3 linked regions of the Solanum lycopersicum genome follow. The protein of the gene in region 3 interacts with the protein of the main gene of each other region in a pairwise test. Links are inferred from orthologs where the notes say so. Each region holds a gene or a part of one and is shown on either strand. Other genes may lie near its edges.

Evidence for each region.
Region 1: the proteins of protein BOLA2 (region 3) and monothiol glutaredoxin-S17 interact in a two-hybrid assay, tested with the Arabidopsis thaliana proteins (2 studies listed by BioGRID). The link is inferred for Solanum lycopersicum from reciprocal best matches to the Arabidopsis thaliana genes AT5G09830 and GRXS17.
Region 2: the proteins of protein BOLA2 (region 3) and monothiol glutaredoxin-S15, mitochondrial interact in a two-hybrid assay, tested with the Arabidopsis thaliana proteins (2 studies listed by BioGRID). The link is inferred for Solanum lycopersicum from reciprocal best matches to the Arabidopsis thaliana genes AT5G09830 and GRX4.

Annotation. Positions count from the first base shown.
Region 1 is NC_090801.1:59,271,730-59,276,042, forward strand, and holds the start of monothiol glutaredoxin-S17, read right to left. Parts: upstream 2,819-4,313; 5' UTR 2,503-2,818; coding exon 2,326-2,502; intron 154-2,325; coding exon 79-153; intron 1-78. UniProt on the Arabidopsis thaliana protein: May only reduce GSH-thiol disulfides, but not protein disulfides. Participates probably to the maturation of iron-sulfur proteins and to the regulation of the redox state of the BOLA proteins.
Region 2 is NC_090805.1:44,575,590-44,579,908, forward strand, and holds the start of monothiol glutaredoxin-S15, mitochondrial, read right to left. Parts: upstream 2,819-4,319; 5' UTR 2,613-2,818; intron 1,760-2,612; 5' UTR 1,726-1,759; coding exon 1,654-1,725; intron 1,191-1,653; coding exon 1,056-1,190; intron 901-1,055; coding exon 801-900; intron 656-800; coding exon 589-655; intron 1-588. Other genes in the region: uncharacterized protein, read right to left, coding at 4,300-4,319.
Region 3 is NC_090810.1:868,466-872,551, forward strand, and holds the start of protein BOLA2, read right to left. Parts: upstream 2,863-4,086; 5' UTR 2,464-2,862; coding exon 2,404-2,463; intron 1-2,403. Other genes in the region: sm-like protein LSM3A, read right to left, coding at 3,386-3,466. UniProt on the Arabidopsis thaliana protein: May act either alone or in interaction with glutaredoxin as a redox-regulated transcriptional regulator, or as a factor regulating Fe-S cluster biogenesis. The GRXS17-BOLA2 heterodimer binds a labile, oxygen sensitive iron-sulfur cluster.

The DNA of each region.
Region 1 (4,313 bases), on a different chromosome or scaffold from region 3:
CCATCTATTCAGAAGCAAATAAAGGTTTACAAACAGAAACAGTCATAGACAAGGAAAGCAAATTCCCAGGTTAGATACCTTGAAGAAGACAAAGTAAGGTACAGCAGAAACAGAGTGCAGCTCAGATATCTCAGGCTGTTCTTCAGCTTCAACCTGAAATACAAAGACAGAAGCAAAATAATCACCATCAGAGATGAGCTGAAACATCAGAATGAGTGAATGACTAATGAGCAAATTCCAGTAGCACCTAGACATAATTCATTAAGGAATTCAGTTTACAGTGGCATCAACCACTATAGAAGAAAAGTTCATTCCCAATTCACTATACTAGAACAAGCAACTATTCGAGTGTCCTGTGTTCTCCACTTCTCTGCTTGCAGGAAGTAAAATTTGTAGATTCTATTCAAGCAGACAAATCAATGTAAGACCGCAGAAAATCAAGAGAGGAACAATATAGCTAGGCAACCACAAGAACATATCTGTCTGTGTGTGCCCCTTCAGGGAGACAAGTTCTTAGTTAAAAGCTTTTTCCTTATCTTTTCTGTGTCTATTTGAGTTATCACGGGCGTTCATTTTCTCAACTTGCTTAAAAAATTGAACTACCAAATTGAGGTAAGAGTTAAGACTGAAGAAAATCAACAGAGCAATAACTATCTCCACCCTCCCCAAAAAAACTTGGTACTACAAAGTCCTCATATTTATATAACATAGCTGGGTAACCACAAGAACTCATATACTCAGTGCATCCATTCAGGGAAATAAATTCATAGTTATTCTTCTATCCCAATTTATGTGACACGCTTTCTATTCCAGTCTGTCCCAAAAAGAATGTCACCTTTCTATAATCAGGAAAAATTCACTTCAAAATTTCCTCTTTTACCCTTAAAATGAATTGATTTATAGCCGCACAAAAGACTAAGGTCTGTTTTAAACCACAATGTTAAAAGTCTTCCTTTCTTACTTTAAACTTTGTGCAAGTCAAATGGTACCACATAAATTGGAACAAAGAAGTACTTGTTTTTCCCTAACTTTTTGTGTTTATTTGAGTAAATAATGCATGTTCATTTCCTCAAACTGCTTTTATTTCTTCAACATCTACCAAAGAATGTGACAATGAGCTTATAAGAGGTAATAATAGTTGCCTAATAGAGCAAAGCTTATTTCTATTAGTACCAAGTTTGACCAAAAAACTCTTAACAGTAGCACCCTAAAATTTCACCAAAGTTAGCCTATTGTATAGAAGATTGAGTGTCATTAATGGAGAACCATATTTTGGTATAGATTATCTATATCTTGGCATACTGCTCGTACACAAGTGCTTTCCCGAATTAATAAAATTATATATCTTATCAAAACAATTGTTTACTACAAACCAAGACTTACTGTGCAAAAGGAGAAATCTCATTGTCACTACAAGAATGATCTACATTCACTACAGAACCATAAACCATTTAAAGCATATCTTCCCAAAACAAACATTAAAAAAAAACACTCCAAACAGAAACAATATGTCCAAAACCCTTTAAAGCATATCTTTCAATAGCACATCACAAAGCTTTGTAGTTCGTCCAAAATCTTATGAACTGCCATTTTTACTAATGAAGGTGGTACCAGGTACTGGCTTGCACACATTTGACTAATCTACCAATGGTAAACCTGCTCACCAAGGCTAAACACCCTGGTGTTATAACCCAAATTCAAACCAATAATCTCCAAGTTGTCACTCCTATGCCTAAACCACTGGACTGTATTGATATCGATATAAAGAATTAAAATATATATACTTTCTGAGTTTTATTACATGTGAAAACTGAATAATGAACAACAAAACCCTAAACCCTCAAAGCACAGCAATAAAAAACAAACCCAGAGAACCCCCTCCAAACAAAAGAGCATATCAAACAGAAAATAGCAATCCAACAATTCATTCAAAATTCCATAAGCCACATCAAAAACCATTCAATAAAATACCAGAACTCAACCAATAAATTAAAAAGATATAAACTTGGTCCATCTCCAATAAAGTTTCACAAAAGAAGTGTACAAAAACTCTTAACCCTTCACACCTTAGTTAAAGGGGAACAAAAACTAAACAACCCCCAACAAGAACATATCAAGCAGAAAATCAATCAATAACGCATCAATATATTTCAAGATCATTCAAAATTCCATAACCTATCTTATTTTACCTTTCTCAGTAAGAAATATAACAGCGCCAGTCATATAACCAAAAATAAAACCAGAAATCGATCGATAAATTAAAAAAGATACAATCTTTTTGGGCTTCTCTTCCATATATGCACAAAGTGAGAAGATTTTGCTTACTCTTAGAAAATGGGCATGTGGGAAATCAGTAGAAAGATGCGAAAAGACTTGGTCCATGTGCTTAGAAGCTTCACACCATGATGCCCAAAAGTGCAAAATCGCCGGTGATCCGTCGGCGACAATCTTATCAAGCTCCGCCTTCGATTGAACTTCCTTCACTGATCCTCCTCCGCCCATTCTCGATTCTTTCAGATTCTCTATTTCTCAATGAGAAGTGAAGTAAATACCCTCAAAGAACAATACGAAATTTCTCCTCTTTTATGCTGTTTTATATAAAAGCCTACTTCTTTTTCCCTTTTCTTTCATATATATATATTTTAAAAAAATCTTAAATTCTTCAAATTTTAAATTGTGATTTAGTCCTTTTTTTTTTTTAAATAATAAAGTTGAATTATAAGTTTAATACATAATAATAAAAATTATTATTTTAAATTTTATAGAATCGATTAATGTTCAATACGAAGAGATTGCTCCTAGTTTAGTTAGTATTATCGTCAATTAGTTGATTTTTGTAAAAATATATGTAAAACATAAGTTTGTAGTCATAACAAGTAAATGCAAGTATTTATTTATTAAATATGAGTTTACTTATTTGGTAAAATTGTATAAAAATTGATAAAATTTTGCTAATTTCACAAATTATAGGACTTATATATTTATGAGGGAAAATATAATTTAAAAGTTAAATGTCTAACAAAATTGTAATTTTAAATCAACATATTTGAAATTTTAATTTCGTATCATAATTTTAAATTATTAATTAATCATATCATATATTTATATAAAAGAGAATTCTAGGCCCGTCTACGTAGCGTCACGGTGAAATTTATTTATTTTCAAAATTAGTCTTCATTTTTCATGAAAAGTTGCGACGTAAATAAGAGTTGTGACTTTTATCTTTTATGACGACATTAATAAAGAGTTGCGATTTTTATCAAAAGTAACTTTTATGATAAGCTGCGACTTTAATTAAGAGTTGCGATTTTTATGAAAAGTTGGGACTTTAATGAAGAATTGTGACTTTTACTAAAGGTTGTGAACTTTTCGAAGAATTGTAACTTTTTTTAATAATTATGACCTTTTTGATAAAACACAATAAAGATTTGTCCACACTATCCTTTGTTGTCTATAAATAATGAGATTCTCTCTGATTTAAAAACAACAAAAGTTCTGATCTTCTTCTTTTTCTTCTAATTCCTCAAATTTTAATATTTGTAAACTTTGCTCCTGTGGAGTGACTTACTAACACACACTGCTTTTGTATCAATAAGTTGATGAATAAGACCGTTCCATCCTAAGTGGATGTAATTTTGTAAGCCTCTGGGATTGGAGGGGAATAGTTTTCTTAAGGGAACATTGTGCATTCACCGGATTCGATTTTTTCCTTTCTATTTCCATTTTGTTTTTACATATCCTGGTATGTTTTTTTACATTCATTATGCTTATGATATAAATTATTATTTTTGAGTACATGTTTTAAACTCTGTTGTTTATATTTCTGCAAATTAATTATCTCCGATTATATTGAACATACACACATATATTACGGATATTCATTATGCATAATAATTATACTCAGTTCCAAAAATTCATGTTTTGATATTCTATATTAAATTCAATGACTTACATGTACTATATAAGATTACATATTATTTATTTTTACATAGATAGGAAATTTTTCGCTTATCAGTTGAAGAAATTCATTATGCATATTCAAAAGTTATAATTGCTTTCATGTTCAAGAGTAATTTCTTTTTTGAAGATGTTAACAATTTTTTTAATTTTCTCCTAATGCATATCTCACATTTGTATAATTTATGCAACTTAAACGTTTCTTTTTATTACGAAATTTCTTTGAATATATATTCTTATTTACTTCTTTATTTTACTTTTTGATTAAAGAATCAATGATTTATTATTTCGTCAGTAGTTCATTTATTAGAGATTCTTGAGTTATGTGATAATGTCGAATAATCAAATTCATGTTA
Region 2 (4,319 bases), on a different chromosome or scaffold from region 3:
ACTCGTGAAGTTCTATAGCATTCACTTGATGCTCTTTAAAATACAATCACTATATAGTATATAAAAATAAAGGGTCGCCATTTTTTATAGCTACAAAAATGTAGACATACAACCTACATATAACTCAAATAACTACATAGCCACAGGGTCATCACCATGAATGTAAAATGCTGGCATCATCCAGGTGAATCAATGTCATACCATACTTCATAAATTAAAAAAAAACAATACCATACTATAAGAATGAAAAGAACCAATTTAAACCACAGATATTTAAAAAAAAAAAGTATGAGCTGCCTCGACAGTCAAATATCATCTGACCTTATGAACAAACCATTAATCATTTCCAGAGTTTACTATGATATTTAAATGGCAGCCAATATCCCATCAGCAATATGTCTACCCAAATGACCCTACTTTCTCTAAAGGATGTGTTTAATGTCACAAAAGCATATTGCTCAGATCACAGCAGAGGGCGAAAGATGGCCACTTAACATCTAGAATTGTGTATCAATCCCTTCTAAAAATGCAAATAAATTCGTCAATAAATAATTTTCATAACCATAGACCATTTGGCATCAAACTTACCTGAAAGCTTTTACAGCATTCTTAAGCTCAGGATCTTCTAAGATATTTCTGGCACTTATTGGAGCATCTGCAAAGACAATATATATTCGTAAATCGTAAGAAGATGAAGACCAATTAAGGGCCCATGGACCTCTATCAGAAATCTACACTTGCAAGTAAAGAGGATGCAAAATCCAACAACAAGAGATATCACTTATAGCACATGGACTTACTGTATTCTTTGAGAACTCTAACAGCCAATGAGCTGAATCCACAACGAGGCAGGTCTGGCACACCTTTCATGTATATCATCACAGGATTATCCTTGACATCCTACAACAGAAGGCCGACAGAATAACTAAACCTGAACACTTAACAGTACAGCAAATAAACGAAAAAGGGTAACACAATCTCTATATTCAAAGATTGAAAACAAAAGAGCTCTGACTTGCCAACAAGCAGAAAATGTACACATTGACTAAAGCTACCTGCTCAACAATATTCTCCAGAGAAAGACCTGAACTCTCAAGCTTACTAGTAGGCCTAAAATCTTCATGTGTGTCCGGATCACTAGGCACAGAAGTTGAATACCGCACTTCACCCTGGTGGATGGATCTGGATGTCTATTATACAAATCAAGCAACTGTTAAGCATAAATTTTGAACAAATAAAAGAAAAAAAACGATTTTGTCTAATCCTGTCTATGGGCTAAACACATTAGAAGACACTGGATGGAAACATATGGTAGAAAGATTTGAGCAAATGGTCTTTTTTGGGGAATATAGATTCAAGCAAATGTTTGATGAAGGTAGATTCAAGCAAATGTTCTTAGTTTATTATATGACTTACAGATACAGCATATACTCCAATTGTATTTAGCTAGCGAGAGATAAACTAGAGTGTCCAGAACAGAGCGATGGGGTGCACAAAGTGAAAACAGAAGAAAGAAAGGGGAGCTCTTCATAGTAAAGCTTAATTTCTTTACTTTGCAAGCTACCAGATAAGTCAGACAAAGAAGTGGAAAGCATTAGTTGATGTGTTGTTAATAGTAAGCACAAACAGGGTGACAGTAATGTTTATTCTTACAATTGCAGATGAACGTGCAAGAGGGTAGGCTGCAAAACGCTTCAACATCATTTGAGATAATGATCTCGCCATAATAAAAGAGACAATTTGTTCAAACTTCTTTCAGCTGCAGGGATGATTAAATAAGAAAAAATTACAAATCAGTTCTTAGTGCTTCACAACCTCAAAAATATAGTAAAAACCCTTAGCTACAAAGCATACAACCCTCTTTTGGGACCAATGAAGCTAAACCATCAAATTTATGTTCAGGCATAGACTACTATTTAAATGGATTGGAATGGAGATAATCGATTCATATAACTGACAGCAACTAGTACAGGACTGAGGCACTTTTGCCATAATAAATAGCTACAAATTTATCACTAATGTTGTTTCTTTTATCTAGGTTATCTTTACTATTTTTATGTAGATAGTTGTCTTTCCTTCGATATTATGCCATAGGGGTGAGGTCTGTGTGCACCCCACCATCCCAGACCCACTTGTAGGATCACAAGGGGCATGGTGTTGTTACTTGATGGTATTATCACAGACATCCCATCTCTATGACCCAATAATCATATCAAACCACAACAAAAAGCTCAATGTAATATCTGAATTCTGATCAGAGATTCTTTAATCTAGACAAATGTTCTAATTTCAAATTTGTTTTGAGATACAACATTATATTAACACCTAACTCATTGAATCAATTCATCGAACACCTAAACGCATAAAACTGAAAATTTTCAGACACCCATTTCAGTAAACGATAAAAAGATTGTTTTTTTAATCTATTTTCATCCAATAAACCCCAAGTCACTGTTCAAAAACAATCGGAGAGAGCACGCAAAAATTAGAAAATGACATGAAAGCAATTACTACTGAATCACCAAAAAAATGGTTCCTACAGAAATCTGCTGGCTTGCCAAGCGAATAATGACACAATTAAAGAATAAATAGATGGAAAATCGAAAAATTACCACTCAGAGAAGAGAAGACCAGACCAATTCCTTCCTGTGCTTTAATATTTTCGACTTCTAAAACCCCTATTTCAGGTTTTCATTTAGGTATTTATAGCCGAAAGGGTGATGAGAGAATGGAGGAGGAACATAAAAACGTATATTGCCGTTTTTGCCCCCTAGGCCTTAAAACTTAAATCTAAATTTTGTGTTTATTTAATTACTTTCTTTGTATAAAAAAAAAAAAATCTATTTCCTTTTTAGTCCGTTTTAAAATTCTTTCTTTTTTTAGTAATCCTTTAACTTTTCACGTGGCATGTTTAAAAATATAAAATTAAAGGGTATTTTGGTACGTTTAACATAACTTTAATTTAGAACCATAATATTAAAAAATATTTTTTCTTTTGATAAACTTCGTTCCAAGTCAAACTAGGTTATCCTTTTTCAAACGGAGAACATACCTTTTTTAACTAGATAAATTGATAATTTCGATCTTCTTGGATGTTATGTGGTAAAGAATGTGTGTTCAAAGTTTGAAAGGATACCACAAGTAACTAGATAAAGTAATTGGTCCTTCACAAAACTAGTTAACTTAATTCACAGGTTGAGTTAATGAAACAATTAATTACCAAGAAAATGAATTCCTTAGTCACCCTTCAAATTTCCACATTCAAAAAAGTTATAGTATTTGTTTTGGCGATAAAATATTTAAATTTACAGGTTAATTGCGTTTGCAAATTTCCTCAGGTGGTTTAATACCTTCCCTTCCTCAGTAGATTTTTTTATCTTTATTTTCAAACAAAGGTTCCAAATGCCTTTTCAAAATCTAATTTCCAAAATAGTTAATGGGCGACTCTGTTTTCACACATACAACCAAGTAATGAAACATTTCTAATCGATCTTCTTTTTTTAAAAAAAAAAACAAAAAAACAGATAAAACAAAACAATCATATTAAATTTGTTGTCATTTCTACATGATTTTACCAGTTTCTTCATTGGTGCAGTAAATTTATATACTATTTCGCAACTCCATAATAAATCTACATTAACTTTCACCCTAACGCAACTAAATCTCGTTTAATTTGTCTAATCGATCACTAACTAGTTTTTCCAACTGGTTTAGATATGGAAAACATTAATTCCTTATTAACGTAGCAGAATCGACCATAAGAGAATTTTTCTACGTCGCAAACTGTAAATTTGCCTAATCATAAACATATGCCATAGCTGGAAAATTACGATACAAACATTGAAAAACAGACGTACTATAGGGAGGCATGAGGTTAAGCTTAACATCCTTTAAAAAATTCCCTTATGATCTTAACAAGCTTTTATGTTTCATATGTTCAGAGATAGTAAACAAGGAACTATAATTTCATGAGGGGGGAAACACTTGTTCTTGAAGTATCGAAGTAGGAATGGAAAAGAACGACAACAGCGATGGTTCATTTGAGAGTACAAATAACAGGAATTCTGACATAAAATTCCTCCATTCAGTGATGACAAGATACCTGAAAACCAAAGAACTTCAACCTGAAAGGAACCAAGCATTAATTCAATGGTTTAATGCCCGAAGGATCTTGGCATGTACCTTGATGACCTGTTGTGTCTCCTCCACGTTCCTGGTCTTTCCCCGTGATTATCTGATGGAGCTTATCTACTAGCTCACCTGCTTTCGGATCTAGCACTAGTTGTGATCAACTAGCACTCAGTCTAACAGCATCATCA
Region 3 (4,086 bases):
TGACACGAAATAAAGGTAGTTCATATATGTATTCCAGGAAAAGAAAAACTCTAAGGTCCCTCAATGCTTTGAGGTTCTTCCACCTATCCCTTAATGTACCTGAAATCTTAGTATAGCATCTCTTATTGACATAAATAATAGGTAGCTCATATATGTATTCCGGGTAAAGAGCAACTATCTCAGGTACCACAATGCTTTAATGGGTCGTTTGGATTAGAAGCAAGTTACAGGGGAATTAGAAATGCATGGATGGCAATGTAGAGATTGTAATGTAGGGATTGAAATGCAAGGTTAAGGTTATAATACAAGAACTGTAGTGGAAGGATTATTTACTCAATGGATGTTAGATTTGTTATACTAAAGTGCATATTAAAAAATATTTTTTAAATTCTTTTGACAAAATAAATATTGGATAACACGTGAAGGGTTATTTTTGTCATCTCGTAATTTTACTCCATATTATACTATCCCCGCATTCTTATCTTGCATAAAATAATATATCGATACCCGCATAACTTAAAGAGGATATCAGTTATGCGACAAGAGAAGTGGAAACAAAAATTGTATTATAAATATCCTAAATTTTATGTGGAAAGGAAGAATGAAACCAAACATTATACTAACACTAAGTATAAGTGGAGATCACTTTCTCCACTACTCCCAACCAAACATCACCTAAGTTCCTTCCCCAACCATTGATGTACCTGAAATCTTGCTATGATGGTATATGCTCTTGAGATAAGGACTTATTAAAGCACCTTTGTAAAAAACACTTCAACAAGTTTAGCTTCTTTTTTAGAAAATCATTAGATGTTAAATGTTCTAACACTGTTCATTTCCAAGACTGGCAATTTAAGGCTAGTGATCAAAATCAAGGAAAGGTTCAACTTTATCACTGACTATTAGGTTTGTCTAACATTTGCCTGCGTTTACTTCCCTTTCCGGTCCATGAAAGCCCCAAATCACTAATTCCGTCCCATATTTTTCCCTCCCTCTTACGACTGTCCAGCACGGCTCTATCTTTTTCACGATAGAGCCAGGTAGACCAATATACCCTTACAATTGAAGAAGTCTATAAAGCCTAAACAACTGAAAAGGTCAAATATACCCTACGTGGCTGACCAACTCTTCAAGGTGGAGGGGCACATTTCATACGAAAGATAATTGTGGGGGATCCTTTGACCCGAAAGGTGAACAGAGGAAGGATATAACACAAATACACGTATTGGGTATATTTGCACTTTTTTTCCCATCAGGAAATTCTCTCATACAAAGAGAAACTGGAAAAAAAAAGAACTATAGCTCACTCGCCTTTCCCTCACTTCAAACACATGTACCATGGAATGTACCATTTTCACCTTCTTGCGCAAATGGCCCACTTGTGAGCTATTTGCTTAGACGACCTACTTGTTGGAAGTCCTACTTGGTTGAGTTGCTTATTTGACATCCTAGTAACTTGAGCTACTTGAATCAAGGGCGACTCACATGCTTAAGGAAATTTAATAAACTACTAGTCTAAGCAAGTAACTAGTAGGTGCCTACTTAAGAACGAAGTTCCAGATGTAAATAAGACAAGTAGTTGCATCACCTACTTAAGCCAATAAACCAGGGAGTTAAGCAGGTGATGCATCTACTTGACTTCTTTAAATTTTGGCCCTTTGTTCTAAAGAGGTGATACACCTACTAGTCACATACTTAGACTAGTAGGTCATTAATTTTCCTTAAACACGTGGGTTGCTCTTATTAAGCAACTAGGACATCTAACCAACTAGATCAACCAACTAGGATGTCAAAGCAAGTCGGTGAAGCACATAGCTCAAGCAAATAAATCCATGGAGTTATTTATACATCTATATAGTCCTTAATGGACTTGAAAGATGGGCCTTGGGCGGACCCAAGACAGCCCCCTTTTGGTCCGTATCTTTGGGCCATAAGCCTTTAAGTAGGTGATGGACCTACTTTTTTATCTTTGGCCCTTCATTTTTACGTAGGTGACACCTACTTGACTTCTTTAAATTTTCAGCCTTCGTTCTTAAGGAGTAGCTAACTCAGAGTTGTTTTACATAGTGCCAAATCCAACTAATATCATCTTCATAGTGAAACAATCCAATCAAGGCAGATTTGAAGTTAGAATTTTGCTTTTAATAAATTAAAATGTAAAACTTAAAGATGTGTTTTTTGACCTATTAATTCATAACAACCAAAATTTCAGCATTTGGGAGATTTCCCAATGTTTATCACTTATTTTCCTTTGTCAGTTAATTTTAACAATTGCAACTGACAAGGTTTAACAAAATCTAAAATCCTGATAAACCTATTTGGTTTAGATTTGCTATGAACAAATTAAACGAACACAAACTCATCAAGTTAACAACAGATATGTGTATATTTGAGAGAATTTACCAGATGAGAAGGGTTAAGCTTTGCCCTTAGTGAAGATTCTACTTGCTCCTTCATCTTCATCTTTCGAGAATACTCTTTTTTTTCTTTGTTATTTGCTGCCAAAATGCCCCAAATACAATTCTTCTCTTCCTAGGTTTTTACAATTTTTATATACGAATCCCAATTTCTACATTTTATTTTTCAAGACGGGTTGACCCAATATTTGCTCATAAAATCTTTATATTATTATGTATTTCTAAATTAGATTTAAAAAACACTACAAGTCAAAATAATTGATATATATATATATAATGTCTATGATAAAAAATTAAATTTGTTTGAATCTCGAAATAAAAAATGTATCACATAAATTGCTTGCAACTAAGGAGTACTTTTTTTCTCTGGAATAATTTCTAAGTTGATACTTGAAAATTAAGATTTATGAACACAAATTGAAGTCTATTTTTTTGTGTAAAAACAGTTTTGAAGTTTTTAGAAATTTAAAATGGAAAATTATACAAATTCCATGTTCAAATAATTTTTCAAGAAGAAAAAGTTGAATTGGCGATGGGTGAAAAATGGCAACATAAGTGGAATAGGGAATATTTGACGACAACAATATGGCATATAATCCTATAAAATTCGAATAAGAATACCCAGTCTACTTGGATTAACTTATATTTTTCACTTTCATAATATTTGAATAAAAAAAATTGTATTTTAAAGCACTTTCATGGTGTTTGTTAAAAATCACAAATTATGGCTTTTGACAGCCATAAGCCAATCCAAACAGACACTTCTTGTCTCATTCTAGAGTTAAGTAAACAGAAGCAGCACGGTTCACAAATATCCAATGCTATAGGATTTCAACATTACTAATCTTGTGCTTTGCAAAACACATGTACTAGACAAAATCACAGACCACCTACAATAGTCTACTGCAGCACCTTAAACAAAATATAGCGTGCTTGCAGATTTTCATACACCACGATGCCTCTCCTCATCAAGTAGTCCGGAGTGGAGGAGACACCAGAATCACACCATCTCCACGAACAAATAGGAACGGGATGGTCCGTCTCGTCGCCTAAAACACAATCAACAGAGAACCAATGTCAGCTGCTTTTACAATCATTAGAAAACCATTCCTCAACACACAACAACTCTTGCAAAAAGCAATTCTAATAAATACATTCTACTCATGGGGCCAATCTAGGATATCAACCACTATGATCAATAGCGAATCCAGGGTTTAAATTTGATAGGTTTTGGGATAAGTTGAACCAATGTTCGATTTGTTTTTAAATTTTAGTAATTCTTCACAAAGATCTATGATTAGTTAAACCCATTGAATATATGTGACATCCTCCACTATGACTAGATTTAATATAGACATTTGCCTTAATTATAAAATTTCACAACTATACAAGGAAAATAGAGATTTCAATATGTTAAAACTTGGGAATTTTGAAAGAATAAAACCAAGTAAGAAAAAGAAAACAATGCTTTAAATTGGAACACAAGATGGACCTTGGAAGATTGGGAGTTGTACATTGAAACACACGTGAATTGACACCCCTCCTTCTTAGGATACACCCCTGATTCCACTACAAGTGAAAATACGAGAAGAAACTTCTCGAAACTTCAGATGGAAAAGGAGCACCTAATCTTCTAAGGGGGTATCACATAAGCGAAAAGCAGATGTCC